2 linked regions of the Drosophila melanogaster genome follow. The protein of the gene in region 1 purifies or fractionates together with the protein of each later gene. This does not show direct contact. Each region holds a gene or a part of one and is shown on either strand. Other genes may lie near its edges.

What was found.
Region 2: the proteins of RpL22-like (region 1) and RpL23A purify together in Drosophila melanogaster (affinity purification with western blotting, with the first as the bait; one study listed by BioGRID). This does not show direct contact.

Annotation. Positions count from the first base shown.
Region 1 is NT_033778.4:23,238,668-23,253,605, reverse strand, and holds RpL22-like (ribosomal protein L22-like), read left to right. Parts: upstream 1-5,712; 5' UTR 5,713-5,828; intron 5,829-5,880; 5' UTR 5,881-5,882; coding exon 5,883-6,821; 3' UTR 6,822-6,996; downstream 6,997-14,938. Other genes in the region: yip3 (yippee interacting protein 3), read left to right, coding at 8,773-8,789, 8,847-8,954, 9,005-9,461.
Region 2 is NT_037436.4:1,661,917-1,677,920, forward strand, and holds RpL23A (ribosomal protein L23A), read right to left. Parts: upstream 6,739-16,004; 5' UTR 6,711-6,738; coding exon 6,680-6,710; intron 6,306-6,679; coding exon 5,893-6,305; intron 5,820-5,892; coding exon 5,430-5,819; 3' UTR 5,182-5,429; intron 5,126-5,181; 3' UTR 5,086-5,125; intron 5,049-5,085; exon of another isoform or gene 4,976-5,048; intron 4,914-4,975; 3' UTR 4,866-4,913; intron 4,830-4,865; exon of another isoform or gene 4,749-4,829; intron 4,681-4,748; 3' UTR 4,638-4,680; exon of another isoform or gene 4,452-4,637; 3' UTR 4,372-4,451; downstream 1-4,371. Other genes in the region: Srrm234 (Serine-arginine repetitive matrix 2/3/4), read right to left, coding at 1-465, 2,004-2,105, 2,616-2,854; CG7974 (uncharacterized protein), read left to right, coding at 3,335-3,450, 3,505-4,118, 4,174-4,328; RabX5, read right to left, coding at 7,049-7,107, 7,163-7,388, 7,439-7,572, 7,635-7,699, 7,759-7,860, 7,921-8,168; CG13930 (uncharacterized protein), read right to left, coding at 8,556-8,772, 8,827-9,042, 9,103-10,544, 10,607-10,789; CG7991 (uncharacterized protein), read left to right, coding at 13,206-13,251.

The sequences.
Region 1 (14,938 bases):
CTCAAATCAGAGGAGGCAGGGGCCGCTGATCCACACGTCCCAAGTCTCCTGGCGGCAGTTTGCCCACCCACAGTGGCCACAAGTCAACGAGGTGATTTGCATGCAGTCATGGGTTTCGGTTTGGTTTTGCTCTTGCTCTTGCTTTTGGCCAGGCTCTCAATGGGGAGCCGGATTAGACGCGACACTGATTGGGCCCGTGACCAGAGTTGTCGCCGTGACGAGTGCAACAGTTCGAGTTGTTCAATGTAACTGGCTTAAATCTTATGGAGGATCAGGTGTCTACTTATTAGTTTATTTGCATCCAATTCCTCTACATAAACTATGTCCAATTGAAGTTTTATTTGGATGCGAGTGCAGCATCTGATTTCTGAAACTTCTTAAACTAGAAAGTCTCGTAAGTAAACTCGGTCAGGCGGCGCGGGGAGCACTTTACTCCAGTTCTCCCCCCGATCCCAATGGCAATCCCCATCCATTCCCAGCCCGTTTCCATTTCGGGACCCATCCGCATGCGTTACGCAAATTGAATTCGTTGGCTGAAAATTTATGCAACGTCGCGTCGGCCAAGAGAAAAGCAACAAGAACAATCGGGGGATATATGTTTGGGGGGGGGGGGGGGCATTGGGGGCAGGGCATATCGGGGACCTTCGGCGACTGCTGGTGTGTGTATTTGGACAATGTACTTGGACGCAGTCCGATATCGACAGAGTTGCAGCAGCAACTGCGGCTGCAACTGCATGTAAAACTGGCAACTGGAAGCTTCGGCCGGCGAGCGACTGAGAAATTTATGCTTTGTTTTGCCTTGGCGATACATGGAACATCAATTCTCGTTAACTTTTCATGCACGACTGGGCGATGGAACATGAAATGGATATGGATATGGACTCTCGACTCCCGATTTTCGATTCTCGATTCTTTGCGGAACCACTCGACCCAGCCGAGAAGAAATGCGCAGAACAATCAAACAGAGAGTTTTTCGAATCCAACGCCATGAGTGGATATTTAAATTAATAGAATCGAAGTCTGAATGGCTGGGTTTACACTCAAAACGAATTGAATACAAATATTTGCATATGTACATAGTATATATCAAATATATCCAACAAAATATAATCTGCAAAGTGCGATTCTTCGATTCTTACCTGCAATATCTAATCTGCTTAGCACAATTGATTTATGGTTTCTTTAATTAAGCTGTGAACAGAGAACAATAGAAATGATTTACATATCTGCAGCTGGCCAGAAAAAAATTGCAAAACATGCATCAATTTGCGTTGCATGTTTTGCTGAGCACTTAATTAAACTCATTTCTAGATTTCACAGCAGCTGTGTTCGATTTAACCGCAACACATTCGATTCGATTGTGCGAATTTATCAATTGTTCCTCCTGGATTTGGCCCAGACCTTCCGCCCAATTGAGCATCAAACACGACCGACTTGCTGGGAACATAAACCGCAAATTCGTTTTATTAACTCACCCACGTTTTTTTTTTTTTTTTTGTTTCGCTATGCATGAAACGAGCAACTTGGCTGGGTGGGTGTAACCGAGTGGGTGGCTCTGGGTCACCCACCTAAAATGGGCGGGTATGCAAAGCAGGCAAGGAGAGCGGGATGACCTTCGTGACAAAGAGCACGGCGACAAGTCACAACAATTGCCTGGGCCATTCAATAAAAATGCAAATTAACTTATCAATTACAACGCCCAAACAACAATAAACTGCACGGCCATTCGAGGGATTGGCCTACTACTAGCCACGTGCTACAAGGACCTCTGGCTGTAAGCAAAAAAAAAAAAAAAAAAAAAATAAAGAAGAAAAGAGGGAAAGAGGGAAATTTTTGCCGAGTCTGGTCCAATCTTGTGGCCACTTCTCCGGCCGGAGTTCCTTTGCTCTCGAAACGGTTTTCTTATGCAAATTGCCAGCTCTAAAATATTCCGGGCTCATAATTTTTATTTCCGTTATTCGAGTTTCAAGATTGTACTACATACTTGTTGGCGCATCCCCCACTGCTTTTCCCGGCTGGCTCTTCGAGAGCTTTTCCTGCGCCTTTTGGGAAATTTGCCTTGCTAATATGGCCGAAAAGCGGCACAGTGTCTGCCAGGTTGTCTGCCGACTGCTCTCTTCCTTTTCCTTCCCGGCCAATTCCTGGCGCAATCATCCCCCTCCTCCGAGCGGCGAAATTGGTGGCACAGTGGGTGGGTGGGTCCGAAGATATCGTGGACATAAATGACATAAGTTACGACTGACAGATCAGATAACATCTTAATTTAGGGAGTGGGCGAGAGCAGAGTTCAGTTGTAGCTGGGGGCCGCTTTCAAGTTAAGTGATTGTAATGGCCCACACAAGGCACGGAAAATCTCAAGCAGGATCGAAGGGCTTCCTACTCCGCAAGAGAGGCTTTTCCAAAGCAGATGGAAAACTTTAAACGACTACAATTGTTGTAGAAACTTCAAAATTGCATTTCGTTTTACTTAGTTGATATTACAATGTATAACAATTTGAAACGAGCTACCTTTCTATGGATTATTGCATTATTTTTTCGAGTGCCAAAACCTTTTTTAACTGCAATCCCAACACCTCAGCGCAATCGGCTCAAATGGAATGTTGCTGGCCTGGTCGAGATTTGCTCGTCACTTCTCGAAAGCCTCCCACAGAATTTTCACACAGTAGACCGCTCCTGGCATCACCGCGTCCTCCTCTAGTTTCTCAGAGCCCTGTAATTTTACGGTCAGGTCCAGAATTGAAGCATCACAAAATCAGAGGTGGCCGCTGAAAAATGCAGGCCGGCACGGAAGTGGTCAGCAGGCGGAGCCCCAATGATTCTGATGAGTGGTTTGGGCTTCGGCTTGGACTTTGGGTTTTGGTATGGGGCCTGGTCTGGTCATGCAAGGCGCATTTTCGCACTCACACTGCTCTCCGTTGCTTTTCCAGCAAGTCAGACAAATTATGGCCACGATTTGACTTGGGCTCTTCGAGGAAAAGCAGCTCCTACTGCTGGTCAGGCGATAAGCATTTGCGTGATTAATGAAATGTGTGCCCGTTCCCCTTCCCTTGCTCCAAACGCAAAAGAGTTGCGAAAGGCCTTTCCATAAATAAACAATTAGGTCTCGCCACCCGCAACCGACTTTCCATTCTGCAACTTCAAACTCCGACAATCCTGACTTACTGGCTCACAATGGGCGGGCTTTCCCGCTTTTCCCGCCTTCTTGCCGCTAATTGACTCGCACTCGCCCAATTAGAACTCGTAAGCGGGCACGCTTTGCCCATTTGAATTTATATTGGAAATTAATTTAATTAATAGAGCGCCTGGAACGGGAAAGGAATCGGATGTAGTGTGGGTGTGGAGTCACCTACCAGGTGTTGTATCCAGTTCCCAGTTTCCCTGGGCTATCGCAGCGGGAAGTGTCAAACAGTCAACTCAATAACTGTTTATTTTGGCTGGCACATTGCCAATTTTGGCCTGGCTGAGTCAGTTGGTAATCGTTTCGCCTTATTTTTTTGGCCAACTAGAGCACTCGTATATTGTGGCTGGTAGATTGGCAACTCTTTTCTGCTGGGCCATGCATTTGCATTTTCTATCTCAATTGGCGGTTTGCATTTCATTAGCCTGAGCAGTTTCGTTAAGCTTGCCAATTTATGGCAATAAAGGTGTTAAGAGCTTGGTAAGATCTATTCGAATGGTATTTTATTGGTATTGGTTTGGGACCACCCATGGGACCCATTAATTCAGCCACAAATAAACATTTTCCTAGGCAGAAAACGGATTCTAGATGCAAAAATATCGAAAAATATTAATAACCCATATATTAATCTGTTAGTTTACATATGTATCATAGATCATTTTAATTGGCACGCAAATTCCCGGTATAAATCAGACCATTTTAAAAGCATTTTCCGCCCCTTCACTCTACATGACTGCCGTCTGGACTCCTCGCAAGATCGTGCTGCCTGCCTGCCCACCTGATGTCGAAGTGATCGATGTCCCTGGACAGCCGTTGCCATCCATAACGAGGCAAACTCCCAGGCCAAAGACGCCTCCGCACTGCCAATCCCATTTTCCGCTTTCCATCCGCCCATTTGCTACCGTTTAGCCAGATTGATTTCGGGCCAGAAGCCGCACGACTCCGCCGATCATTCCTCCCACTTTTCGCAGGGGGCGGAGGGCCGTCACGCCCACCGTTGCAGTTTTCCCATCGCCCAATCGCCAATGCCGGGCCCATCAATCAACTTCGAGTGCTCGCAGTGAGCGGGAGGTACTCCACTTGCTTCTACCTGCCTCCGAATCTCTGCATCTCCGAATCCGCGAGGAGGACGCGGCAAGAGGCTGCGCCTGGGAGCGCTTTTGGTTGTAAAAATCGTTTCGGCATCATTTTTCATATCCGCAACCGAAACAAAACCGCCAAAAAAAAAAAGAACCAAAACTACCAGAAAACAATATCCAGTCGGCGGCTGGGAAATCGAGTAGCATCCTAACTGCAGGAGCTTCATGCGGCGTTGGAAAAACAGTGGTACGTACCCGAAATACCCTAGGGTTGACTTCTCCAATCTCTATTGCGAGTATGGAAAGGTCATATAAATGTACCAAAGTCGCCCTAAATCTCACTCTTTTGGTTTCTTCTTTTATTATAAACAATTTAGGATGATCCAAAGTCCATTTGAATAGTAATACCCTCTGTTAGGGTATGAGAAGGTGGATAGATGGGCTTGGGTTATGTTTCGGTGGCCAGGGGTGCGTATACGTGATCGCTGCATTTCTTTGGACGTTCCGCGACGCTTTGTTTGCGCTGCCATCGACACCCCTGTCCCGCCCCTCCTGCCATCCTTTTTAAGCCTTGTTTGCTCTTGGCAGTGGCAAGCGAAAGAGACGGCTGCAACGAGACAGAAAGAGACAGCACGAGGGAGAAGGTTTCGATGTAGCGCGAATTTGTTGCAATTTCTCATTGTCAGCGAACGCGTTCGCCGGTAAGTTTTGATTAAACGCTCCGCGGGAATTCACTTTGGCTTGCACTTTTTGCTTTTGTTTTTATTTTTTATTTTTCCTGCCGATAGGAGGTGGCATCTCCCATCCACAATCCCAAATCCCAGTTGGTGGCCAACTCTTTCATTTGAATTTGATAAATGGCGCTCGTTGCAAAGCGATATGTTATGCAATTTAGGGATTTCCTTGTGGCTTAAAAAATATTGAAGCGATAGCTAAATGTTTGTACAACTCGGAAATAAATGAACTGGCCGACAAAGAGAGTGGAAGGTGATGACACTTTAAACAGGCTTTCGGAATTCAATTTGCCTAGCATTGGGAAAAGTTGAGCTATCTCTGTGGATTCATGTGGATTCCACTTTGGTAACTTATCTCGAACCTGTGTGCGCAAGTTTAAATCGATTTCGATCCACCACAATACCCTATAATAAAAGAGCTTAAAAGGGAGCTGGTATAATATGAAAACTACAAATTACTGAGGCCGAACTGGAGGCGAGACGACAAACAAGGCCAAATTGATCCCCGGCTGACAAGCGGTAATAATAATTTCGTGCCAATTAATCAGCGTTAAATCAGAGCGTCAACATCCCAACCTGCTCCACACTCATTTCTCGTGATTTCACTTAAAGATTTCCTGTTTTTTTTTCACAAACATGCCGCCCAAGATAATCGAATAATTGGCATTCGCATTCTACGTAAGCACAGTCGATTGTGAGCAAGGTCACACGGATCGCAAATGCAGTTACTTTCTGATTGTTGCTACACTTGGCCACTCTAATTCTTTTCCTGCCAAACTTCAACGGAGGAAGTCACGTGGTGTTTCTAAACCTATTTTTGATACTAATTTCTTTGGAGTAAGTTAATTGTTTCAAAATTTTAGGCGTGTGCTCATGTTTTGCCATATAGGAATGAGTTCCCAGACGCAGAAAAAGAATGCTTCCAAGGCCAAATCGAAGGCGGGCCCACAGCCGTCGAAGAAAGCCCCGGCTAAGGTGACTCCTGTAGAAACCGCCACCCCATCTGCGGCTCCGCCTTTGTCCTCTAAAAAGGTGGCCAAAGCTCCGGCCGTGGCACTAAAGAATCTCGATTTGGCCATGAAAGAATCGGCTAAGAAGGCCGCCGAAGCTGCTGACCAGAAGTTGGTCTCGAAGGCGAAGAAAGGCCAGAATGCTTCACGCAAGAACTTGATGCAAGTGCCGGAACCCGTTGCCCCTGAGGTGGACAATAAGAAAAAGTCTGCGCCTCCTAAACGTGGCAATGCGGAAATACCCACGGTTGTCCCCGCCAAAAAGGCCGCCCTGGTGCAAGAAAAGCCCAAGGAACAAGCTGCCGCAGCACCAAAAGCCGAAAATGTCGAGGTTCCAGCAGCCAAAGCTAAAAGTGTAAAAAAGAGCCTCGCCACTCCGGCAAATCCGAAGCCCAAGCCGAAACGCACGAAGAATGTTCTGCGTGGAAAAAGGCTGGCCAAAAAGAAGGCTTGGCAACGCTTTGTGATCGACTGCGCATGCGTGGCCGAGGATATGATCCTGGACCTCGCCGACTTCGAGCAGTATTTGAAGACCCACATCAAGATAAAGAACAAGCTCAACCAGCTGAAGGATCAGGTCACTTTCGAGCGCACCAAGAACTTCTCGCTGATCATCCACTCCGGTGTGCACTTCTCCAAGCGCTACTTCAAGTATCTGACCAAACGGTATTTGAAGAAGGTCAGCCTGCGTGATTGGTTGCGGGTAGTGTCCACGGCCAAGGACACCTTCGCCATGACCTACTTTAAGATTCAGGACAAGGACTTTGATGACGACGACGACGACGTTGCCGACGACAATGGCGGAAAAACCTTTGCCTAAAACAAAGATCGCATTTCGAAAACATGTATATCCCATGAAAGCTGTTCAAGTGTGTAGACTTCTTAAATTTCTCAGTATACTTCTGTTAAATTTCCCACTTGAAGTTTCACTAGTTCTCAATGTGGCTCATACAATTTTTGCTCATTTGCTTCAACATATTCAACGATGAAATATCAATAAAAAAAAAAAAAACCCTAACAAGAGTATATCATATATGTATGTATTCTCATCCGAAGCTGCAGAGTTCCCTTGAAGAACTTAAAGATTTCATTTTACGGTCAGTTAGGAGGAAGGAGCGGAGCGTTCCTCGGTCGAATCGACTTAAACTTGAACGATTGACATCTCGGAGAGGGCCTCGAGTGGCATTCGTCATGTTTTGATTGGGAGGAGCCAGTCTTGTTTTCCTTACCTTTTTACGCTTTTGTAAATACCTTAAATTGCCCCATTGGACGGGATTGTGTTCGATGCCAGGCGGCTTAATTGCTTCGCTGTGGGTCTGCCAAATGGACGAAACCATGGGTGGGGATCAGAGGGTGCTCCTCTGTCAGCAGTTGGCCCGGCCTGGCCGTAGGTGGTCCATAACGAGCTAATGAAATGCGAATCCAGCCAAAATGCGAACAGCGAGGCAGCCCAGTGGAGTGAGTCAGGCAGGCAGCTGTCAAAATCGAAATCAACCTGAGCACTCGCAGGTTGGCTTCTTTTCGACTTGGCCAAAAGAACACAAAGGCTGGGCAAAATATTCACGATTGCCGCCTGGAAGGGAATACAAAGCGAAAATAAACATAAACGTCATGCAAATCGTATGGTAATTGCTGTCATCGCCGACTCTTGTCAAAACGGGTTGAAGTGTTTTGTAAATGCCAGAAAAAATTAAATTCCAGACATGCAGACGAGTACCAATAATAATAATAATAATGTAATAAGGGGCTTGCGATGGGGGGGAAGTCAAGAGTGATCCACACGCGATTATTATTTTGTCAAATGGGAAAACGATATCGGGCCAAAGCAGAGAGAGAACAGCCTCTGTCAAAAGCCAATTGGCCATTGGTAATTGGAATAGGCCTGACATCCAATGGTGATTAAAGTTAATTGAACTAACACCCATAGTTGATAGATGATGGCGTTCTTTGTCAAACCGAATATACCAACGTAAAAAATACTTTAGCATGTGTTAATTAGCATTAACGCTATTTTATTTAATTAATAGTGCACATTTGTATGATGTATTTCACTCCCTTGAAGAGCCACTTTTTGCAGCAAATAGAGCTGGCATTAAAACAAGTATTAATTTTGAACCCTGTGTCAGGGCCTTATTAATTTGAAAGCAAATCCCTTGTGACATGGAATATGAACCGTGCAATCAAGTTGGCTTTTAATTGTGCGTCAAACATTCAGATCCAGAATCTTGGTAATAGGCTCAAATCCACTCCGATTCTAGGTAGGTTGATCCCTGTTCCTGCTTAGGCTAATTAACACATCGATTACATCGTTGCGCGGACAGTGTGTGTCTTTAAATTGATAGGCTCGTTAAAGTGTCTACCATTCCGAGGCCTTCTGGTCTTGACTTCGCCAACTGGTTGGATCTATTTTTAGGGCCAGCAGGTGCAGCTGCCTCGGAAACTGCGCAGAGACGCGTTTCTCGGCCAGTGCCAACCAGTTGGCGAGACCCCATCATCATCATCGCCATCGCCATCTGAAGATCGCCATCCAGCGTAGGTGACGGACAGCCTCGGGCTGCCAATATCACTTACTTTCAGACAATGGATAGCCACACAGGCGTTGACGATTTGTTGGCCTTAATCTACTTGAGCAAATATTAGTTTTGAAAGGTCTTTGTACCCAGCTCAAGTTTATTTTCTACTTCCCAAGCCCTTTTAAAGTTTTAAAGAATCTTTGCAGCTCATTTAACTGGCACTTTTCTGCTCGAACGCTTTTGGGAGTCTATTTGAAAATGATGGAAGGTGAAAGGTGAGTTTGTGACTGAAATCATATATACTTTTACTTACTAGCTATTGATTCCCACAGTTCCAAGTCGATTCAAGGCAACATCGTGGGTCTTAAGAGTACCAACGCCGTGATACTGGCCACCGACTCGAAGGAATACGAAATGTATCTAATAGATGACCGCATTTAGTAAGTCTATTCAATTTGCAATGCCTTAAAATAACTTATTAATTATTCAGCTGCTGCGCACCTCGTTCCGGCATCGATCGGAACATAGTTCTGGAAGTGAGTTCAAAGGTGGCAAATCTAGTCCGGGATCGCGGCCAGAATGTGACCGTGTCCCAGGTGCGGGACATGTTTTGCGAAAAGTACCAGACCGCCGAATCCCCAAATGTCATGATAGCTGGCCAGGACAGCAGGGGCCTTCACTTATTCAGCATGGAGTGTGGAAAGTCACGCATGGTGATGTATGGTGCAAAGGGCAGAGATAAGGAGAACATTGTGGACTTTCTCTCGAAAGACTGGAATGATTTCATAAACCTCAGCGAGGCTGAACAGTTGGCCAGGAAAGCGCTTAGGTGGGAGCACGTGGAAATGTGCACCATCTATAGGGCTAAAGAAATCGAGGAACAAGGTGCCAACATGGACTTCGATATGGACGACGAGACCTCTGTATCGCCGGCCAGCAATTTCTAGATCCTCCTACTATCTACATGTACATAGTAGTTAATTGTATCATTTCGATTTATGTTCATATAAATGAATGGTGGCTGCTCCACTGCCCCCCCCCCCCCTGTAATTAGCCACATTTCTCAGCGTTTTGCAAGTTGGCCTAAAATAGATTAGCCGCTCCTCCCACTGGAAATGGTGCAGCGCCAGCACAAGTGATTTATACTCCTCCGACCTGGCCCTTGGATAATTAATAATGATTAAAAGCTGGCGCCCATCAGCGGGCTGGCAGCTCAGAGTCCTTGTACCCGCTATGGGTATGGATATATAGCTCTATATAGATCCCCACTAACCAGATCCGCTCGTCTGCCTCCGGGGATCTGGGGACTGAGGCGATGTCCAGCTGTGCGGATTAACTTGAATTTATATGTTGTGGCTGCATTTGAATAATTTCATATTCGAGCTGGCAATCGGGATCTCTATCTTTCTCCTCCTCGCCACGCCCCCTTCCTTTGCGTCCATCTCCCCTGTGCGTGACCAGGCTCCATTTTCCCCTACTCCTGCGTCCACTTGTGTGGTCTTCCTCCATTGACAGCTCTTGGGTGGCATTATGCTGTCTGCTCCGGATTTTCACTTTTATGGCCTGCAAACCGGCAGTTGCTAATTGATTTCCACGTAGATTGGACTCGTAGTTAATCGGCTGCTCTTCGGTTTAAACGGAGCTCAAAGGGATATGATATGAGATACTTATACTTTCAGATTAGTATCTTCGTAACTTTCGTTCCATTCCCTTTCCATTTAGCTCGCTTATCTTAATCAAAGCCTTATCACCCTGTGCATTATTTTGGCACATTCAAATTGAAACCCCTTTTTCGGTTGATAAGCAAATATTTCGCCAACACTTCAATCCACTTCCCGCATTTATTAACTTCATTTTCGGTTGTGCTTTTGCCCGAATTCGAAAGTGTCTGTCGAAAATAAAATGTCATTGGCCAAGCGATAAGAAACGAGAGGAACAAGCCGAAAAATCAAACATCAAATATTCCCAATAAATTAAATGCGGCCAGTTCCAAGAAGGACCCATCCTCACTTGTTGGTTTTTTTTTTCAACTGGCATTCAATAATAATTCACTTTCGATGCGGCCAAAAGTTGCGAGGAAGCTGGCCCTGGGGATTCGGGGTGCCTCTGAATGCGGAATCGAGTGGTGCTACCTTGTGATATCTTTATTTACCTCAGTCCAGTCAAAAAAAAAAAAAAGGGCTGAAAAAACACAGAGGTGCAGAAAATGCAGGCAGTGTCACCTTTCGGCGGCTCGAAGTGGAAATATATTTATGTGGCATGCGAGTTGCAAGGTGTGACAACATGGAAATTTATCTGCACCATCTCTGCAGCACCTTTATCTCCTGACCCCCACCTCCACCACATACCCATCTCGACGCCTCCTCCCGCAATCCGCGTTCCGAGCTCCGGGTGGATTTATATGGGATCCGAGTCGGGATTGCCATCTTAATGCGACATTAAGTCGGCGGAATCTGGGTGTTTGGCCCGGGCAAATATGAGGTGCATTATGTACACACAAGGGATTATCTATGGGTACACATGTTGCACGTGCACCATGGAGCAATGGAATTATCCATTTGGGTGCTTCAAATGGGGCTGAATGCACAAGTACGCACAACAAAAAACATATTAAGTTGCCGCACTGATTAATAAAAAAGTTTCAATCATGCCATTTAATTATATTCGCTGATGGCCATAAAAAAAAAAACTTTGCAAGTTCAACGTTTTTTTTCCCAAAACACTTTCTTGTCAACTGTCTCTGCATAATTGTGCCTTTTTTGCAGCGCCGCTGTTGCATTGGCAACTTTAACGAAATTGGACATGCAACATAAAGTAATTTATTTTTAATTAATTTATAAATGCAGCCACATCAAAAATGGCCAGCGTTGCAAACAGGCGGCGAGGCTAGAGGATCGCGAATTAAGCCCCGAGTCGTAAATAATTTTTATATCTCGCATTCCTTTATAGATTTTAATTTTTTTGCGCGTTTAATTTCAGCTTTATTTTGTTTCATTTTATTTTATTTTTATACGCGCCTCTGCCGCATGCAACAAGCGGCACGAAGTGAGTGTCGCTGACAGCACGTCATCAGCACATTGGGCGCAGGGGGCAGCGGGCTCCGATTGGCCACGCCCACTTATATCGGTGGGCGTGTGCGATGGCAGCAATTTCATTAAAATTTACTGCACACTGCAGCGGCGAAAAAATTGTTGCGGTCAATTAACGTCAGCAACGCGTTGCCATCGCTGCGGCATAAGCCCTACAAACACGCCTCACTCCCCCCACGCTTTTCCACCCCATTTTCCGCCCCTTTTGCTCGGAGTTTCACCACCACCACCCCCCCCCTTGCTCATTAACGGCCGTCGATTTTATTCACATTTCGCATCTGCATGCGCATACGCAACTTTTTGTTTATTATTGCTTGGCGTGAATAAATAAATAAGTTCCATTGACATATGCTCAAATAAATAATAGAGCGCGCTTAAATTATAGCCTGCTGGCTGGTCAGGATGCTCTCCTCCCGTTGGCAAGGAGCACTGGAGGAATCTCCGATGCGGCTGTGAGTTATGATCCTGGCGGCGGCGAGACCGCAGTTCCCGCAGAGTCCCATAACAATGAGCGGTGAAGCCTGGCCTGGAGTCATCGAGACGATGGCGATCGTTTTTAATTTCGCCGGCAACAACGGCGCAGAAAATGACAATGGCACAGACTTGTGAGAACCGAATGAGTAATTGGCGACGATTACATTTAAAGAGTAGGTTATGCTCGCAGCTTTAAACACCACATTAATCTAAAGAAAAAATATATAAATTAAGGTCATTTCGGACTATAAGTAAGTAGCCATGATATGGCCATGACTTCTACACTACACTTCTGGCCAACTTCGCGCGAACCCAATCAAATGCACTTGGCCTAGAGAGAAAGAAGCCCGTCCAATTAATTGATAAACTTTCCCACTAAACTAATTTGATGTTTACGCAGACTCAATCAGCGCCGCAAAGCAGAACAAGTGAAAAGAATTTAATTAAGCTGCAGAAGCCGGCCAAAATGTTTCACAAAATCGAATCTTTTTTCTTGGGGGGGTGTGTTAAATGGGAGCTTCGTACAGAGATACCATGCGATGCGTGTGTCGGAGCCCCCGGGAAGTTGACCCCAATAGGGATCTCGGTTCAAGTTCCCCGCCCTGCGATGGAGGCAACTTATTAGGCCTGCTTGCCGGTGGGCGTGGCACAATAACACAGACCCTCTGCTCTCGAGAGGAAATTGCAGATGACTCGCCCGGACAGCCGAACCGCAAATTAGTTTCGCTGCGGAGCAACTGGGATGCTCCTCGGGATCTGGCTACCAATGTCAGTCGAGTCCGAGCCTGAATAAATATGAAAATATTGTCCAAGTAACCAGTTTACCAGCGACCAGGGCCCGCGGCGTCTTTCCTGGAAACAGAAAGAGCAACCGGAATAACAATAACAACAATCACCCCCATGACAGGCGGTTCTGAAAAAGGGACCGGCTCACTGAGAGAAAATTGTGGCTAAAAGGGGGGAGCAATGCATTAAGTAGGGTCATCTCATTAAAGCGTAGCATATAACTACAAATGCTCATAATGTTGTGTATTCTAAAGATGTGGAATTTCCAAGTGAGTTGATATTTTCTCTCAGTGCAAGGGTCCAGAGCCAGCTTCTTCCCTTTGGAAACTCACTCCAGAAAATTGACGCGAGCCGCGCTCCAAAATCGCTCCAAACGTTGTCATCGTTGTCGGGTTGTTGGGTCGGTTGTTCCATCTGCATCTGCATCTCCATCTCGGCATCGCGCGTCCTCCATATGGGCGCACTTGGAGATGCCGGAGATGAGATAAGCTTCCATACTCCATACTCCACACTCCAGACTCCACACTCCAAACTGCATGCTCCTGCCCGCTGCTTTTTGTTCATAAATTATAATTTTATGATCACGAACATATTCGTGGAACACTCGTTGTTTGCCTCATTGTCGCCAGCTCCCAGGGGCGTTAAATATTAAAGTGTCTGGAGATCTGGTGTACTGGAGGCTTGGTGGACTCGCAGTCTGGATTGGCACTTGGAAATTGGCTCTGTTCTGTGGCCTTTGGTCCGTGGAGAGTGTCATCGTTTGTGTTTACACTAATTGAAGAACTCTTCGGCTGGGGCCCTTCAATGTCACGGATGCTCCCAGTTTTCAGATCTCTCCCTTTTTCGCTGGATCGTTAACTTGCTTTATGGCCCTCGTTCGGTTTCTGGCCTGAAATTAGTTTGTTTTAGCTTAGCCGCCTTTGAAACGGGGTGGTGGTAATGATAAGTTGTCTTCTACGATTTTATTGAAGGTCGTAAATCAATTAACTGGCCCTTTCTGGCACTCTTTCTATTCGGGCGACAGCTGAATTGTCGCAGATATTGACTTGTTTATGCGCTTTAATTACCATGCGGAGTGCCAAAAGTTCAAATTTAAGTTATGAGACCAACTGGCTGGAAACTTTCCATAAAATCGGAATATGATTGAAATAATTTCGAAATCTCTTTTAAGTGCGCTCAAAATTATGCAACACTCTATCTGAAAGCCCTGCTCTTTTCAAACACTGGAGTTTTTTTCATTATTTTGTAATTGAGTATCCCACCCAAACCCTTTTATTGCCGCCCCCATTGTTGGCCGCGAATTAAACTTTTAAATCACTTTTCGCACATCGCCTGGATGCAAAAATATTTGCATACACGACATCGGGCAACATAACAAACTGGCTGTTTGCTTTTAATTGGTTTCCATTTCGGTGCCGTCCGTTTATTTACTATTTGCATGCCCCGCCCAATTTTTTAATTTATACAAACATTTCACTTTGTTAGCTTCGGCTAAAACAAATTCAAATAGTTGCAGTTCCAGCGCGCTGTCCCTGAAAATGGCTCAGTATTTTTATGAGGCATTTATCGATTTATTAAAGCAACCCTGGGAGATTTCCGCAGAATTCTCATTAAGTGAGCAACGGTTTCAATTTGCGCTCGCAGGCGCGTAATGAACGTTATGCATGCAACAAAGTGAAATTTAATAGTGCAACACTATTCGCAGCATAATTAGTTCTTCCGCGCGATTTTCATATTCAGCTGCAGCAGGCTAATGAATTTATTGTGGCCCGAGGAGCAGCCAGCACCCCACCATTCAAGTTCACCCATCCCATCGTTCCCTTCGAAGTTCCGGGTAAGTGATATGGCGCAACTTGGCATTCTTTTGTCGCGAAGATTCCCCGTATTTGGCCAAAGCTCCAAGTGCAAAGGAGCAAAGTGACACTCTCGTCGAGATTATCTGGAAAGTTGGGCACTTCTTCTACGGCTCCATGCCAAACTCCACAGAAATTCAAGTTGAAAGTAAATTAGCGCTAAGCCCGCGTCAAAATTAGAATTAAAAGCCAAGGCGAAAGTTTGCCCGAGCAGAAAAGGAA
Region 2 (16,004 bases), on another chromosome or scaffold:
TGAGTCCTCTTGGAGACTGCTGGTCGCCTGGTCTTGTTGGCGCCGCTTGCCAACGCCGGCCGCAAGGGCTTAAACTTTCTGGCCACCGCCGCGTAGTTCCACGTGTGGGCGGTCAAACGGAAGCTCTCGTACTTGGCCAGGTACTCGCGGTTGTCGTGCTGGAAGTAGGGAGCCTTGGTCTTCCTGGCCCCATTTGAGGTGGCAGACGGAGCAGAGGAGGCGGGCTCCCCGGTTTGGGTGCGGGGACTGCTGGTTTTGCTACCGGGAGTGCTAATGGCGGCGCTCTTTTCGGTGGTGGTGGTGGTGATTGCGTGACCTGCGCGTTTGCGTCGCTTGCGTCGTTTCTTCGGTTTCGCCACCTTCACCGTGGTGGCTTCCGTCGTTGTTGTCATCGTTGATGCAGTGGCCGCCGAGGCAGTCGCTGTGGTTCTTACTGCAGCCGTTGCCGTGGATGTGGTGGTGTTGCTATAGATCTCCGAGGAGAGCATTTTTGCCTTTAAGGATAAGTATTTCACTTATGATATCTTTGGATCTGCTTTTATACAAGATTATTCGTATTTAACGTAAAGTTTTAATCCATGTGTGTGGAAGACAGTGGATATTAGGCTTTAGTTTTTTTTATTCCGCGGGTATTTTAACTTTAATTTGTATTTATTCTGAAAAGACGTTACTTCAACTTCATATATCCATGTTATTGGAAGACGATGGATTTTAATTATACTTGTTTTCGGATTTTTGATTCGCGTTTGTTTTATATATATATATTTTTTTATGTTGTATATAATATATGTTTAAATCCATGTAATTGGAAGACAATGGATTCGCAGAATGTTTATGCTTTATATAAATACAAAAATAGTTTTCCTTTACAATATACTTTGCTATAATTTCATCGGTTACGATTGGAAGACGATGGATTAGCATATATTTGGTTTTACTTTCGGCTACATTTCGTAGAGCCCGTGATGTTTTAATAAATCCTTATTCATCTGGAAGACGTTGGATAGTTTTATAGAAATATTGGATTATATTTGCTATGGTTATTTAATTTACTCCGCTGAAGCAACTACGCGCACTTGTCTTCTTCACTTCGCGACTTATACTAATTAATTACTGACTATGTTTGGAAGACTTATTTAGTGATTTGTTGCATTCATTCGGCTTATGTATTGAGCATTACTCCTACTGGCCCTGCTACCTCATTTAAGGGGCTCCACTCTTAGCACTTGCAACAACCACTACAATAATCCGCAGCTCGAAAGCGGCTGGCAATGCTGAGTTAGGGGTGAACCAAGAGCTATGCGACACCACCACCACCGGCGCTGGGTTTTCATTTATCGGGTGCGTATGCAGAGCTACTCCTCCTCGGGCACACTTGAAGGGCTTTTGCTGGCTGGGTGCCAAGCCCTCCCTCCAGGTCATTGGGATCTCGTGTTTTATTTTAATTTTTTTTCTTTTGATTGCTAGGCTTATGGATGCATTTGCTGCTGAGCTCCTGACGGGGCGGATATCGATTTTTCCAGCGATTTTCCAGCGCTTATCGTGCCTTTTTTACCAGGTCCCCTGAGACGGCTCCTCTGCGCCACCTCCATCGCCAGCTCCTCGCCAAGGGCACTTAGTGGGTCGTTTTAGCAGGCGGTTATTGCTTTTAATTTGTGTGTAAATATATCTGGCTGCTACGCGGCGTTTCCTGAGCGCTTTGGCCAACTTGCTGTGGCTTTGGAAGACTTGAAGTGACTGAAAGCCGTGCGCATCCCGGAAAATCTTTGCAGCAGCTTTTTCTCTACCATGCGACGCCTGTGATTGGCCCCCGAATGAATGAAAGAAGGGGTGGCGAGTTGGGCGCTGCGGCGGCGCATGTCTTTTCTTGGATGTGGTTTACAGCTGTCGTGCGCTGGCCGAGATTTGAGCAGGCCTTCGGTTTGTTTAAGAGCTTATTGATTTGTCCACTGGGCGCACGTTTTGCTTTAAATTACATAAGCTATTAAAAGCGTGGTACTTACGCTACGCGTCCGAATTCATCTTTGGCCAGATCTGTTTTGCCCTGTCCCATCAACTTCTGGCGGAAGGAGTCCACCTGCGACTTAATTTCCTCCGGGGTGCGTCTGTAATAATTCAATTTTAATGGATAAGATAATTAGCGTGGCTCTATATCTAAAGTTCGTAATTCTACCTTTAAGACTAGCTTGATTAGCTCAAAAAAGGCTTAAATATGGATGATGTTTCACCTATCTAGATTGTTAAATTAGCTAAGGAGTGCTTAGATTTCAGTCCGCTTGCCCGGACATGCGGATGTCTTTCACTCAAAATAATCTCTACAACTGAAATGCACTTTTTTCACCACCAGCCGAGTTCGTGCCACCGGAAGAGTGCTCACATGTGACGCACCGAGCGGGTGGAGGAAGCCCTGCCCGCGTAGGGGTGGCTCGCCAACGGGCTGGGGGTAGTTCAGTGCTCAGTTCGGCGCGTGTGCGTCCGCTCTCTGGCGTGCAGGAGCAGCTACCAGGCGCCAATGTAAACATAAACAGCGAAGGAAGCAACAGCCCCAGGCCGGCGTTATATAACCCGGATTGACATTACATACTGGCATGTAATTGCCCATGTCCCCTGCTCACCCCTGCTTCTCGAGAATGTCCTCCAATTCCAGGCACTTGACTTCGATCTTGCGCTTGCGGTCGTGGTCCAGGATCTCCTTGTTCGGCGGCCGGTTCAGCTGGGCGTCCAGCTTCTTCGTGTCGTCCTCGGCGCGGTAGTCCTTGTCCTTCTTCCCGGGCCGCACACATGCCCAATTCCGCTGCACGTGCCCATTGGTGCCGGAGCCACGGGGCGTGGTCAGGCCAATGCCGTTGTACATGCTGGTCTGCGATGTCCTGCAAATTCCTCTTAACTATCAACGACTCCCGGCGGCCACTGGGTGCTCCACCAACGCTGCAATTGCACCACACGAAAAATCGATTTCAGTTGCAGTGCAAGTGGTGTTCGACTTGTCTGGCTTTCTCACCTCTGTTATATGTCCTGCGGCGCTGCTATCCAAGCGCTGGCTTTACTAGGCTGCCTAACTTTTCAGTAGTTTATTCCTTTTTGTCAAAATATTCGACTAGATATGCGACAATATGCCGCCCTCAGTGTGACCAGATGACAAATGTCGCCTAAATGCTCCCTAGCTGTCAATTCCACAATGAAGCTAACATGAGTGGATCCTGTTCAAAGCAACGAAGTGGATGTTATCAGTGAAGTGAAAATCGGCGAAACGGGCACACTAATAGCTAAACGTAAACAACAATATTACACTTATTTTATCTTAAGAAATATATAGATTTATTAGTCTAAAATCATGAGCGATGCAGAGGAAACAAAAGCAGAAGCCACCACCAAAGTGTTGTTCAAAAAAGCCGGTCGAAAAAACCTAAGGCAACGCAAGAATTCAGACGAAGAAGAAAAGGAGGAACAGTAAGCCGTCAACAATTAGAAATGAATTAAACTAAAGTGTTCATTTCTATACAGATTAACGCTAGATGAGATTAAAGAACGCCAGCGCCTCAGGCAGCGACCCAATGGCGTCAGCCTTGTGGGACTGGCGCTGGGCAAGAAGATCGCGCCAGAAGAGGAGCTGGCCATCAAGGATCCCTTTAATGTGAAGACCGGTGGTCTGGTCAACATGAAGCAGCTGAAATCGGGCAAGATGAAGGAGGCGGACGACGCCTACGACGTGGGCATTGGCACGCAGTTCTCGGCGGAGACGAATAAGCGGGATGAGGACGAGGAGATGATGAAGTACATCGAGCAGGAGCTGCAGAAGCGCAAGGGAGGCGGCACGGAGGACGCAGCAGAGGACGACGGTGATGTAAACAAGTACCTGACCCCCGAGGATGCCGCCCTGTACGCCCTGCCCGACCACCTGAGGCAGTCTTCCTCGCACAGATCGGAGGAGATGTTGTCCAACCAGATGCTCAATGGCATTCCTGAAGTGGACCTGGGCATTGTGGCCAAGATCCGCAACATAGAGGCCACCGAGGAAGCCAAGCAGAAGCTGCTGCAGGACGCCAAGAACAAGAAGGACGGACCCTCGCAATTCGTGCCCACCAACATGGCGGTGAACTTCATGCAACACAATCGATGTGAGTTCCCAAGTGTGAAACGTTTCCGCGGATACTAAACCTTTGTTACTTCCAGTCAACATCGAGGACAACAGCGATCAAAGGAGGCGCAAGCGTGAGGAAAGGGAGGGCAACAAATCCGCACAGCATCAGACGAATCCCAATGGAGTCAAGCGAGCCACAGATGACTACCATTATGATAAGTTTAGGAAGCAGTTCCGCAGATACTAAAGATACGAGTGCCAGCAATAAAATGTACAATTGTTTAGGTTCAGGATTCTGTTTTATTTCTATATATATTTCAATTAAATGTACTTTAAGAATTAACTCATTAATCCATTAATCGGGCCACTTCTGTAAAAATAAAAGCAAACACTTGGTTAGTTATGCTTCACAACGATGAACATATTTGCTTTTATGCTTGCAATCAGTGAGAGACAAAATTAATTTCAAAGCAACGAATGACTGAGGCTCAATGAGATTCCTACTCAAAATATCATCACAATAAAGAAGTTGTCAGTAACTAAAACAGATACACACCTTATAAGAAGTTAGTCCAGAGAATCGGGAAACAATGGCGCAACTGAAATGAATTAAAAAAGAATTGTTAAATAAAGCGCTTTAAGAGAAGCCATTGTTGTTTGAAATGATTTGATCAGTGGGAGATTAAAATTGATTTCATAGCTACAGGTAGCTCAATGAGATTCCTACTCGAAATATCATCAGAGCAGATTACAATTCAAACTACTCCATCCGAAATATACACACCTTGAAGAATTTCATATCCAAGGATCCAGATACGAGCCAGATTGAAAACTGAAACGAAATAAAGTCTTGATTAGCTTGGTTTGGTTGAGTTCAGCTTCCTTGAGCATAATGCTATCAGTGGAGATAAAATTGATTTCATGGTTATTTCAATGAGATTCCTACTCGTAATATCATCAGCTAAGTGTTATACATTAAAATTACAAAATAAAACTTTAATTACCTCTTCGTTTAGCAAGTTAAGCTTCCCATTTAAAGACAGCCTGCGATAGAAGGTAGTATTAGCAAATTGAAAGATTGCTTGTTATTAAAAACTCACCAATTTAGAGCGCTAAAACCTGAAGTATCCAATCTGAAAGAGAAAACTGAAAGAAACTCAGAACCCATTGAGCCCACATTGAAAACCCACACTTAGTTTTTGAGTGGTTTTATTAAACCCAGACAACTTTGAAACGTTCATCCTCGCTCTACCGTGTCAGCTTAGCATTACTTTGTTTATAGAAAAGAATCTACATATAAAATGTAGAACGCGATGCCCATTCCACACGTTACCGCAGATTGCAGCGCTTATATGATGCCGATCTTGTTGGCAATGTCCAGGGCGTCGTAGTCGCGCGCCAGGCGCACATAGGCCTTCTTCTGGCCATCGGGCCGGATGAGCACGTTCACCTTGGCCACCTTGATGTCGTAGAGCTTGCGCACTGCGGCACGCACGTGGTTCTTGTTGGCGCGCAGGTGTGTGAGGAAGACCAGGGTGTTGTTGTCCTCGATCTTCTTCATGGCCGCCTCGGTGGTCAGTGGGTACTTGATGATGTTGTACGCGTCCATGCGGTTCCTGGTGGGCACCGATTTCCTGGGGTACTTGGGACTCCTGGGCAGCTTCAGGGTGGTTGGCCGACGGAAGTGCACGTTGGTGCGGATCTTGCGGGCACGGGTGCCGAAGGCGCCCTTGATGATCTGTTCGAAAAGAGCAACAAAGAACGAGGTTAGTCCGAGTCGATCTCCTCAATATTAAGCAGCTGATGCACACCTTCTTCTGGACCTTCTTGGCGTTCAGCAGAGCCACAGCCTTGGCCTTGGCGGTTCCCTTGGCGGGCTTGGTCACGGGCTTCACGCCCTTCTTGGCCTTGGCGGCCGCGCGAGCCTTGGCAGAGAGCTTGGCCAGCACGGACTGGGGCTTCTTGCCGGCGAGGACCTTCTTCTTGGCATCCTTGCTCTTGGCCTTGGCGGCCGCGGTCGTCTTTACGGCCGCGGGCTTCTTGGCAGCAGCACCGGCGGTCGCTGGCTTCTTGGCGGCCGGAGCAGCCTTCTTAGCCGCTGGGGCAGCAGCCTTCTTGGGCGCAGCGGCAGCTGGCTTGGCAGCCGAGGGAGCAGCCTCCTTCTTGCCGGCAGCGGGAGCCGCAGCAGTCTTCTTCTGCTCTGGCTTCTTGTCGCCAGGCTTGGCTGTAAACAGAAGAGCGCGGAGTCCACGGATTAGTAAACATGTTCGGCTCTCGACGCACAAAGTTAGGTTAGGCCTGATCGATCAGCAAGGCAATGGGACGCTTTCCGACTCATCCAGCTCCATTCGAATAAATTCAACTTTGGATTGCTCACTCGGTTGCTATACTATCCCATTCTGAACACACACTTGGACATTCCCACGCAGACACACCGCACGTGGCCGAAACTACGGATTATCTGTTCGAACACATTTATGCCTTAAAATCACAATATTTCGCACAAATTCGATTGCCTTCTGGTGGGCTGAGCTGTCGTCTCCCTTTTGCTGATCGATTCACGCATTTTTCGCATATTTTTGAATGAAAAATCCTTACCGGATTTCTCGGTTGGCTTTTTGGGTGGCATTTCTACGAGAAAAAGAAATGAAAAGGAAAACTGAGGGGCAGTTGTCAAAAGGCGGAAGCCCGTTTTGACAGGAGGGTGGCCAGATAGCTGGAATTTGGCACGCATTCAGTGCGTTTGGCAACACTGCTGCGGCACTTATTAGCCGTGTCTGGCTTGCTATCTTGACACTGTGCGCGTGCAACACAGCCGCAAAAATGAGTGGCAACGCTAACGGTGTTTAAAATGTAACGGTACTTGTTGAATTCGAATTTAAAGCGAAAGAAGTAACCAAATTGTTTAAAACTGTTTTATTCAATGTCTTACGTTAAGCTAAAAATACAAGTTGTGCAATCTGCAGGCTAGCAAGTACAGCCACTTTTCTGTTGCGAGAGGCGGCTTCCAAAGAAGTTGCGTAAATCTAAATAAGAATAAATATAAGCTGATAGGATAAGAATTTTCGAATAGCGGCTTACCAAAAGTTTGCGATTTAACAGATGCCTGAGTGGCCTGTTCCTGAGGCTTATTCTTAATAGACCTAATTTCCTGCATTACAGCCTCTTCAAAGGCCAGGGCAGCGATCCTTTGGAATAATTCCGTAACTTTGAAGCCAGATCGCGCCGAAACGGACCAATATTCCGCCTGAAGCTCGGCGGCTGCCAACCCTGCCAGTCGTTCCATGCGTACAAACTCCTCCTTCGACTGAAAAGTAAGTGCTATTACTTGAATCTTTTGTTGGAAAGGTGGTTTACCAAGAGGTCTGCTTTTGTGCCCACCAGGAAAACCAAGGGTCTCTTGCTTGCATTGTAGTTGAGTGCGCTATTTAGCCATTTTTTTGCCGACTCCAGCGAATCCTTCTTCGACATGTCGTAGGTGACCACAATCACTTTGGTTATGGATTTGTATTGTTAAAACTCTCTCCTAATGATTTAATTAGTTGGTACTTACCACTCGCATTGCGATAATAGGCTCCGGCGATGCACCTGAAGCGCTCCTGACCAGCAGTGTCCCACCTGCAAGTAGAGCACATTTCAAAACCAAACTGATAGCGCCTTCTAGGCAGTTGACCCACATTTCCAGACTGTAGTTGTGACCCAGAATGCTGAAGTTCTCCAGCTCAAAGTCCACGCCAATGGTGGCCTTGTAGTTCGACTGAAATTTGTCGTAGCAAAATCTGCGGATGATTGTGTAAGTTAATTAATTTAGTAATGCCTATATGCCATGCCATGCTCACCGATTGACGATGGCCGTCTTGCCCACGGAGCAGTCGCCCACGAAGATGACCTTGCAGGGTCGAAACTTGGGCTTGCGAGGCGCCTCTAGGTAGTAGCGCACCTGCGCCCCAAAGTCCCGCTCCTTGCTCAGCGGAGTCTGTGCGGCACTGTAGGCGGGTGGCAGGTGCCGCAGGTGGGTGCGAGGATCGTGCAGGACCACCGTGGGCGGTTGGGGTAACAGCAGGTTCTGCCGCAGTCGATGGGGCATGGCGGACGTCTCTATTCCAACTAACTAAGCAGCTCAAATTGGGGAAGCCAGCCACGTCGTCGGCGTCATCGCCTCCGCCGCAAACCACAAACTTGGTCGGCTTGAACTTGGTGGCTATCACATGCCCAAGGTGCCGAAAGCTACCTTACACCCCCTGCTTTGCATTGCAAATGCAGGTGCTCGATAAGAGCAGCTCGGGTGTGGGTTAGTTCCGATAGGGAGAAGGCCTTAAGAGCTGAGCTTTAATATTGGGCTGCCATTGTATCCATATCATTAAACCTTCAAGCCCGAAAGGAAAACGCTTTGGATTGGTATTTGGTGGCTTTATTTGTGTCAATCATAACACTCATACAATGGCTTATGGTTATAATATCTTGATTAATCTAATCAAGCCCTTGTTTGCTTCGTCCCACCTGGATAGCCAAAGTAGCCGACGCTCTTCACCTGCTTGCGGAGATCGGGTTGCATGGAGAGGGCCTTGAAGATGGCTCTCTTCAGCTGCTTGTACTGAAAGTGCGGCGGGAATGGCATGTCCTCGAAGGACAACATCAACAGGTTGCCCGCCTCGTTTCCCACGGCCAGCGAACGGCCGCAGTGGGTGAATCTGGAAGGCGAGGAGATGCGATAGGATCATTCAAGGAGAAGACTCTGAACTCACTTGAAGGTGGTGTAGAAGATGTCGGCGTCTATCACCGTGGAGGACACCGGCTTCATGGTGCTATTGCGCAGGTCCCAGATGTCCACGGTGCTGCGACTGAGCGAGACCAGGATGGTGGAGTGAGTGCGGCTCCAGCGGGCGCAGTGCACCGGGGACAGGTGATGCTGAAGGGTCACGATGGGCAACAGGATTCCAGCCAGCCAGATACGAATGCACCTGATGGGGACGCATGAGTGAGGATAGAGAAACCCGGAACAAAATCGCAGTTGATCTCACCAGTCGCTGCCGCAAGTGAGGTACATCCTTGGTGACCAGGGCGAGAACTCCATGCAGGCGGCGGGTCCATCGTGCACCTGCCTTAGTTCCAAGTGCTGCAGCGGGTAGTTCGTGGAGCACTTGTACAGGGTACCCTCGTCGGTCAGCACGTAGTATATGTCCGACTGGACAGGATCGAGCACAATCTCCAGACACTGCGGATGCCTGTTGGCCAGGAGGGAAGCCGCCGGAGGCTGTCGCTCGATGGGAATCCCCTCTAGCTCGCCCTCCGCCCGCTGCAAACGCTGCTGCTCGAGTCCCAGCATATTGGGACTATTGATCAGCCGGTACTTGGTCACCGCCCCAGCCTGCGAAGTGGCCAAGAAGGGCGTGATGTGCGGGTTCCTGCACCCAACATCGCCCTCGAAGTAGATCCATTTAATGGCCGTTACTGGCTCGAAGTATGGCGAGGACAAACGCTGCGATACAGCTAGTGGTGGCAGATCCTGTCCAGAAATATCCCTAACCTCCACACCTCCGTTGTGCAGTCCAATGGCCAGCAGTTGCGGTTGGGTGGGTGAAAACTCCACGGTGACCACAGGCACTTGGTAGTGGTAGCGTCGTTCCGGATTCACAGGGTTCTTGATGTTCCACACGTAGACCCAGCCGGATCTGGGTAACTTGCTGACCTTGCCGTGGCTGTACACCCCGTAGGCCACCGCCATGATGTCCCCATTGCTGGGACAGAAGCTCATGTCGCTCACCGCTTGATGAACCTTGGGATCCGACGAGGGGGGGCTCAGTCGCCACAGCAGGCCCAGTCGGTACTTGAACTTGACGTCCTCGGCCAAGGGATCTGGAGGAGCCATGTTCCTGTACCTCCGTTGCTGCGGCTCGAAGACATTGCTGGCCAAGATGCGCATGGTCAGCATGAGGGCCAGTCGAAAGCCGGGCAGGCAGTTGATCCCCACGAACTGATCCACCCCGCCCACGTGGTAGGTGGTTATCTCCATCTTCTTCGCGCCCTGCACCTGGACACTCGTGGTGGACTTCTCCAGGTCGGTGTACGTGTCGTACATCTCGAAGTTGGACACATAGGAACCCATCTGGGCGGTGGTCAGCCGCTCGGTGTTCACCAGCCTGGACTTCATCAGCGCCGTCATGGTTTGGGTGTCCGCATCGACGGTTCTCCGCGTTTTGTCCGTTCCCGAGAGCAGTTCGTCGTACTTCCGGTTGTCCTCCATCACCTGGCGACCCTCCTCCGTGTCCGCCAAGGCGGTCATGCTGCGCCGTTCGAATAGCACCACGATGGGAGTCTTTCGGAGCAGCACCTTGATGAAGGGCGTGGCTGGAGGACGGGCGGAGTGGGCGGAGCGGGCGGAGGAAGCAGGCTCCTTCAGATAATTCGGTTCCTCCAGAGTGGGCGACATGGGCGTGTCCAGCTGCAGCTTGTAAAGATTGATCTGGCGAATAAACATACTGTATGGCTTGATTTCTTTGGACATTAAGGATGATAGGCACTCACCCCCAAGGCAATGTCATCCAAGGAAGCTCTCATCACGCACTTCGTTCGGTACTCCGGCGTACGGAGCTTATGGAGTTGCTGCTGCTCCGCTCCGGGCTCCTTCATCAGCGGATGGTCCCTAATCATCCTGCTCAGTTGCTCGAAGTCCGCGGTGCGGTAATCCTTCCTCAAAGGTCGCGACATCCTTCTCAATTAATTTGAATGAGCGCGTGCCGCCGATTTCCCAACTTGTTTACTGCGTGTGCAGACATGGCAACGCAACAATGGTGGATACAATATATGGGTGCCATAACTACCAAGTGCTGTAGTTGCACTCCGATTGCAACACGGAATTCCATTAGCAGGCTCACACATGACTGCACTCATTGCGTCCATAAATATTTATAACTCACATTTAAATCGCGCAACAAAAGTGCATAATAAGTGGGTTGGTAAGCAAAAACGTATATTTAAATATGAATGTAGTTCCAGTTGTGCAATGAAGATGAAGCCACCATAGTCTAACATCAATTTGGATCATTACCTTTAGTGATTCCAATAATTTGCGCGGCTTTCTGACCTGTCACAAGAAAAATCCCCCAACCGGAGAAAAGCAAAACAAACTATAAACTACAAAATACAAACTACAAACTACCAACAAATGAAATTCGTATTCATATTCCAATTAGACAGTAGAAGAATAGCAGACGGAAAATAGTTAGATGGTATATGGTAAAAAGGTCTTTAATTCCGCCACATAGCCGCATAGGAAATGGGCAAAAGATGGGATGAGGAGGAGCACTTGGCCATGTGGGCGATTGAGAGCAGCAAGCCGTGCAGCACACTGAACGAAAATAAGATCGGGTTAAGAATGAAATATGATTAGGTTAAGTGCTCACAGCAAAGAAATGTATCTACAGAGAAATTATTTCAACATGAATCCCAAACTATAAATATGACAATCTTAATTTGAAGATAGCTTGTAATAATCAAAGCGATTTTCCGTGTATAGAAGATATGGAAGTCGAAAAGAAGTTGTTTATGTTAATTTGGCTTTATGCTTCGCTACGCTGATTCGCTTGATGAACATATAGCAAAAAAGAGGGCTGATTATGAGGACGACGACGACGACGACGACGATGACGATGATGATGAGGGGGCCCAAACCGAGCGAATATGGCCAAGTGCACTATGTCAAACGGAGGGGCACACGGCAAGCGGGCAACTGATGGCCAAGAAGAACAAACCATCAAACCGTCAACGCATCAAAGCGTTAAGTAATAAATGTGCAGGCAGCCAGCGAAAAGAAAGAGTTAAGAGCAAAAAAAAAAAAACAAATCCAAGCGGGCTATAAACAATAGTCGCCTGTCTTGCAGGTTGCGTGCATTTTGAACTCTGCACGAGCCAACGATCGTTGTTGTTGGCCGATTTGGCCAGACTCTTGTTGTTGCTGTTACACATTTTGGGGGCAGCAACAACCACCTACAGTCAGCGAAATTCAGTGAACCGCCACCAACGCGACGCCAACTGCGACGCCGGCGGCGACTGCGCAGTCAGCGCCACACTGAATTACATCTTTGAGGTGTTGAAAAATATTAATAATATTTTAAAATTACACTTTAAGTTTAAGACTCAGTTCTGTGATAGCTTTTTAATGGACTAACCCAGCTTGTAAGCAAGCTGATACCACTGATGTAACTACCTTTTAACTCCAGCCAGTTGTTAGCCATGTTTGTCCAGTGTTTGTGAGATAATTAATAATTTTGTCGCCAGCCCGCAAGAAACGAGTCTGCGGAGTGGACCCTGTTTTGAAAAGTGAAATAAAACGCCACTTTTTACGAACATCTAATTGTGTCCGCACCCTGGAAACCCATAAAACGCGCCATCTCCATCTCGATCCAGCCCATGGGCTGGCTATTAGCCATATGTCGCTCGCATTCAGATCGTCTGGGCTTCTTACACCTGTTTTATGTCCCCACTGGCCCCAATGTGCGACGACTGCCCCTTTCGGAGCGTCGACTGCGCCGCCCGGCGTTTCGGTGTAACACATTTTCAGTTCGTTTCCATTGTGGCAGGGAGCGCGGAAGACCAGCGAGCCAGCGAGCCAGCGCGCCAGACGAGAAGAGCTGGCGGCAGAGCGAGCTCAAGTCGAGCTCGGAGGTTTTTTTTCGAGGCAGCGGAGCGACTTTTTATTCGTTAATTAACCGTCGAGCGGGCCAGAAGTCCGAGTTGCTCGGCTTAACGGAAGTGCTGAAATCGGGCGGCTAATTGAGCACACCTCGCCTCCAGTTGACACCTGAGACACCTGAGGGAAAAAACGAATTGAAACCACTCCACATAGCTCGGGTCATAACTTTCCTCGCTGGCCGGCTGCTAATGTCTCAATTTGTTGTGCGCGTTGGGCAAGTGCAGTTGCCATTCAGCCGTGGCTGTATCTGAAAGATACAATTCGGGAGAGCTCGGTTCCTGAGTGATTCGAAGTTTATGCTAATCAGCTGTGTTGCTCCGCGAGAGGGATCATTTCGCCATAGACCCACACCCGCATAGCCAGTGATCACATAACGAAATAACGAAACCAATCAGCAGACGATCTTATCAGCGCCAAAAGAGGAGGAACACAATGTTGTTTTGGAAGAGGCGTCTTCAGCGATCGAGCAGCTCTTCGAGTAAGTCCCCGTTTCTATATGGCCAAGTTTGTGGGAATGGTGGTAATGGGGGACGGGGGACGGGACCACGCCTCCAACGATTGGGCAACAAGAAATATGATTTCGCCGGGCAGGTGAATTTCGATTTTCGGTCCAGTGACAAGCTCGAATATTTTGGCCTCGACTCATCTGCATAATTTGCATCTTAAGCATTATTTCTGGCTGTGCCCAGCGACTGGTTTATTGATTTTATTTCAGTGCTTCCCTGGCCAAGATCGTAAATTCACCCCGCTGGGCTTCATCACCCACAAAAGACTTGGACAAATACAAATGGGAGCGCGAGCCACGCGGGACATGAATAATAGCTCATATCTGGCCATCGAAATTCTCGCCGAGGTGTTCCCTTTGTGGATGACGATTGCCCAGAGATTTATGAATGGATTTAATGTGTTTAGCATAATTATGCAGATCGCCGTGTAGAAGATAATATCTCACTAGGTTTGGTTTCAAGCGTAAACACTTGGGATGGAAGTGGAAAGATTTGACACATTCACGATCAGTCGGATAAAGATTTGATGGTCTTAAGGGGCTTGGGAAGAATGGGTTTACTAACCAATATGATTATAGTGTGGTCAACACATTGTACCCTAATCCCCCACTTGAATCCCTCTCCTTCCTTTGAAAACCCATGGCCCGCAGTCAGGTGTCATAACAGATTTGTCCCGATGGCCAACAAGGTGGCCAACTGCTATCGAGCATCGCATTGAAAACTGTCCCTTTTCCCCACATTCCTGTGGTTACTCTTCGTCTTCTCCCATCCCATCCCATCTGCTCCATAACTTTCCAACCAAGTGCCGACTATGTGTCTCATTCGCTGTATCTCAGTTCTGAGCTCTCGGGGTTTATTTGGGATCAAAAACATGACTTTGACTTGTGGTAATGTGATGTTAATGACAATCATCAGCAGCGACACAAGCAATAACAACGCAGGCAGAACGAGGAGGAGCAGGAGTAGGAGTAGGTGACATCCACACCACCGCCACATGAAAGCAGTAGTCCCAGTAGTGGGTAGCCCCGCCTCCTGAGCCGCGGAGCACGCCTAACACGATTCCGGAGATCGGACATCTCTGCCAGCGACATTTATTTTATGTGCGTTCCGTTCCCGAAAGTCGTGGCCCATAATCGGCTTACCCAGAGTTCTTGGCTCTACCATACCGCAGTTGACACTTCTGGCTATTTGGTTCGCTTAGTTCGTGCCCGGAGTCTTCTGTTTTTATAGAAGCTGCCCATCAAGTTGCAGGTTTAATGGTCGCTTGTGGCCCAGTGCCGCATCGAAAAATGAGTTCGGCGTTTTGTTGTGACATTTTAATGGCCTGACCGAGCTCCATTCCCCACCGCCGAGATGGTTATCAATATTACAAAATAGTTTTCGGCTTTCGGTGGAAGCGTGCTGGATGGGATTGGAATGGTAAACAGTGTCTGGAGAATTATCTGAAACCTAAGACGATGAGCAAGGTGGAACAATTTAAATTACCATAAATCAAAACCCACAGATATACTGTGTAAGAAGTGTAGAAACATAAGTTCCAATTGAGAGTTTCTCACCGAGTTTAGTCGAGCTCTATTTGGGGCACTCCATTTGCAAGTGGCTTAATTCCCATAAATTCCGTTTGTAGATCTTTCACTTGACCGGACTGCGTCCCCCTTTGAGACCCACTTAGCCCACATCTTTGGGTCAGTCCTACACTTTCCGCGCATTCCACGAGCTCGGACCTCGAAAATTGTCTGCAAATTGCTCATAAATTACATGAAAACCGTCGCAATGCCAAAAGCTGCACCTACACCATCATTATCAGCTTGTAAATAAAAAGACTTTATCAATCGTTAAGCCGCGGGCGCAGACTCGCCATCCGGAGCCCGCGTCCGGGATCCAAGATCTCACCTCATAACATAACATAAAAGTCGTCCGGGTGGAAGGAGATGAGATGAAGATGGAGCGAAGGTGGATGCCCATTCCCATTCCCAATCCCATTCCCATCCTCATTCCAGGGCAAAACCCTGGCTCCGCTGCGGTCAAGTACAAATATTTTTATTTATGATTTTACAGATCAGCATATTGCTCAATAATTTCACCGCACCGGCAACAAAATAACTTTCAAATTACGCCTGCCGAGGATCCTCGCTTAAGTGCGCCAATTTTGAGATTATTATTGCCGGCTGCGTATGCAGATAATCGTGACCCAAAGTGCAGGAGGATGGGGTGCCCATAACTCAGCCGGTTCAGCTGGGAATCGGGAATGAGCTGGAATGATCCTCGACCAGCAAGGACTAGTGGATTGAAGCTGGTCAGCCACCGATTTAATTACTCTATTTGGCTAGTTTTTTGGGGTCGAATTTAGGTTGTCTGCGCTAGTTGGGATCTGGATTTGGATCTGGATGTGGAGTATTTGGGGCAGCTTAATATTTTCCCATAAATTACTCGGGGCCAGGAGAAAATTACTTTAAAATTTATGGCCCCGGCATCTTACACGCTGATTTGGCCCTTTTATTTTCGGCTGGCCGTTTGGTTTCTTTCTCTGGCCATCGAGCATCGAGCACTGGCTGCGAGGATCTGGGAACAGGTCGTGGCGGCGATGCCCCCACCGCAGTGATATCCGCGTTCCGAGGGGGCGGTCCCCTGGAAAGTTCGCACGATTGATGATCGACTGCGAGTCGCAGTTGCCGAGCTCCAGATTCACTGGGCTCCCTGGGCTGCGATGATGACGCCGTCCTGT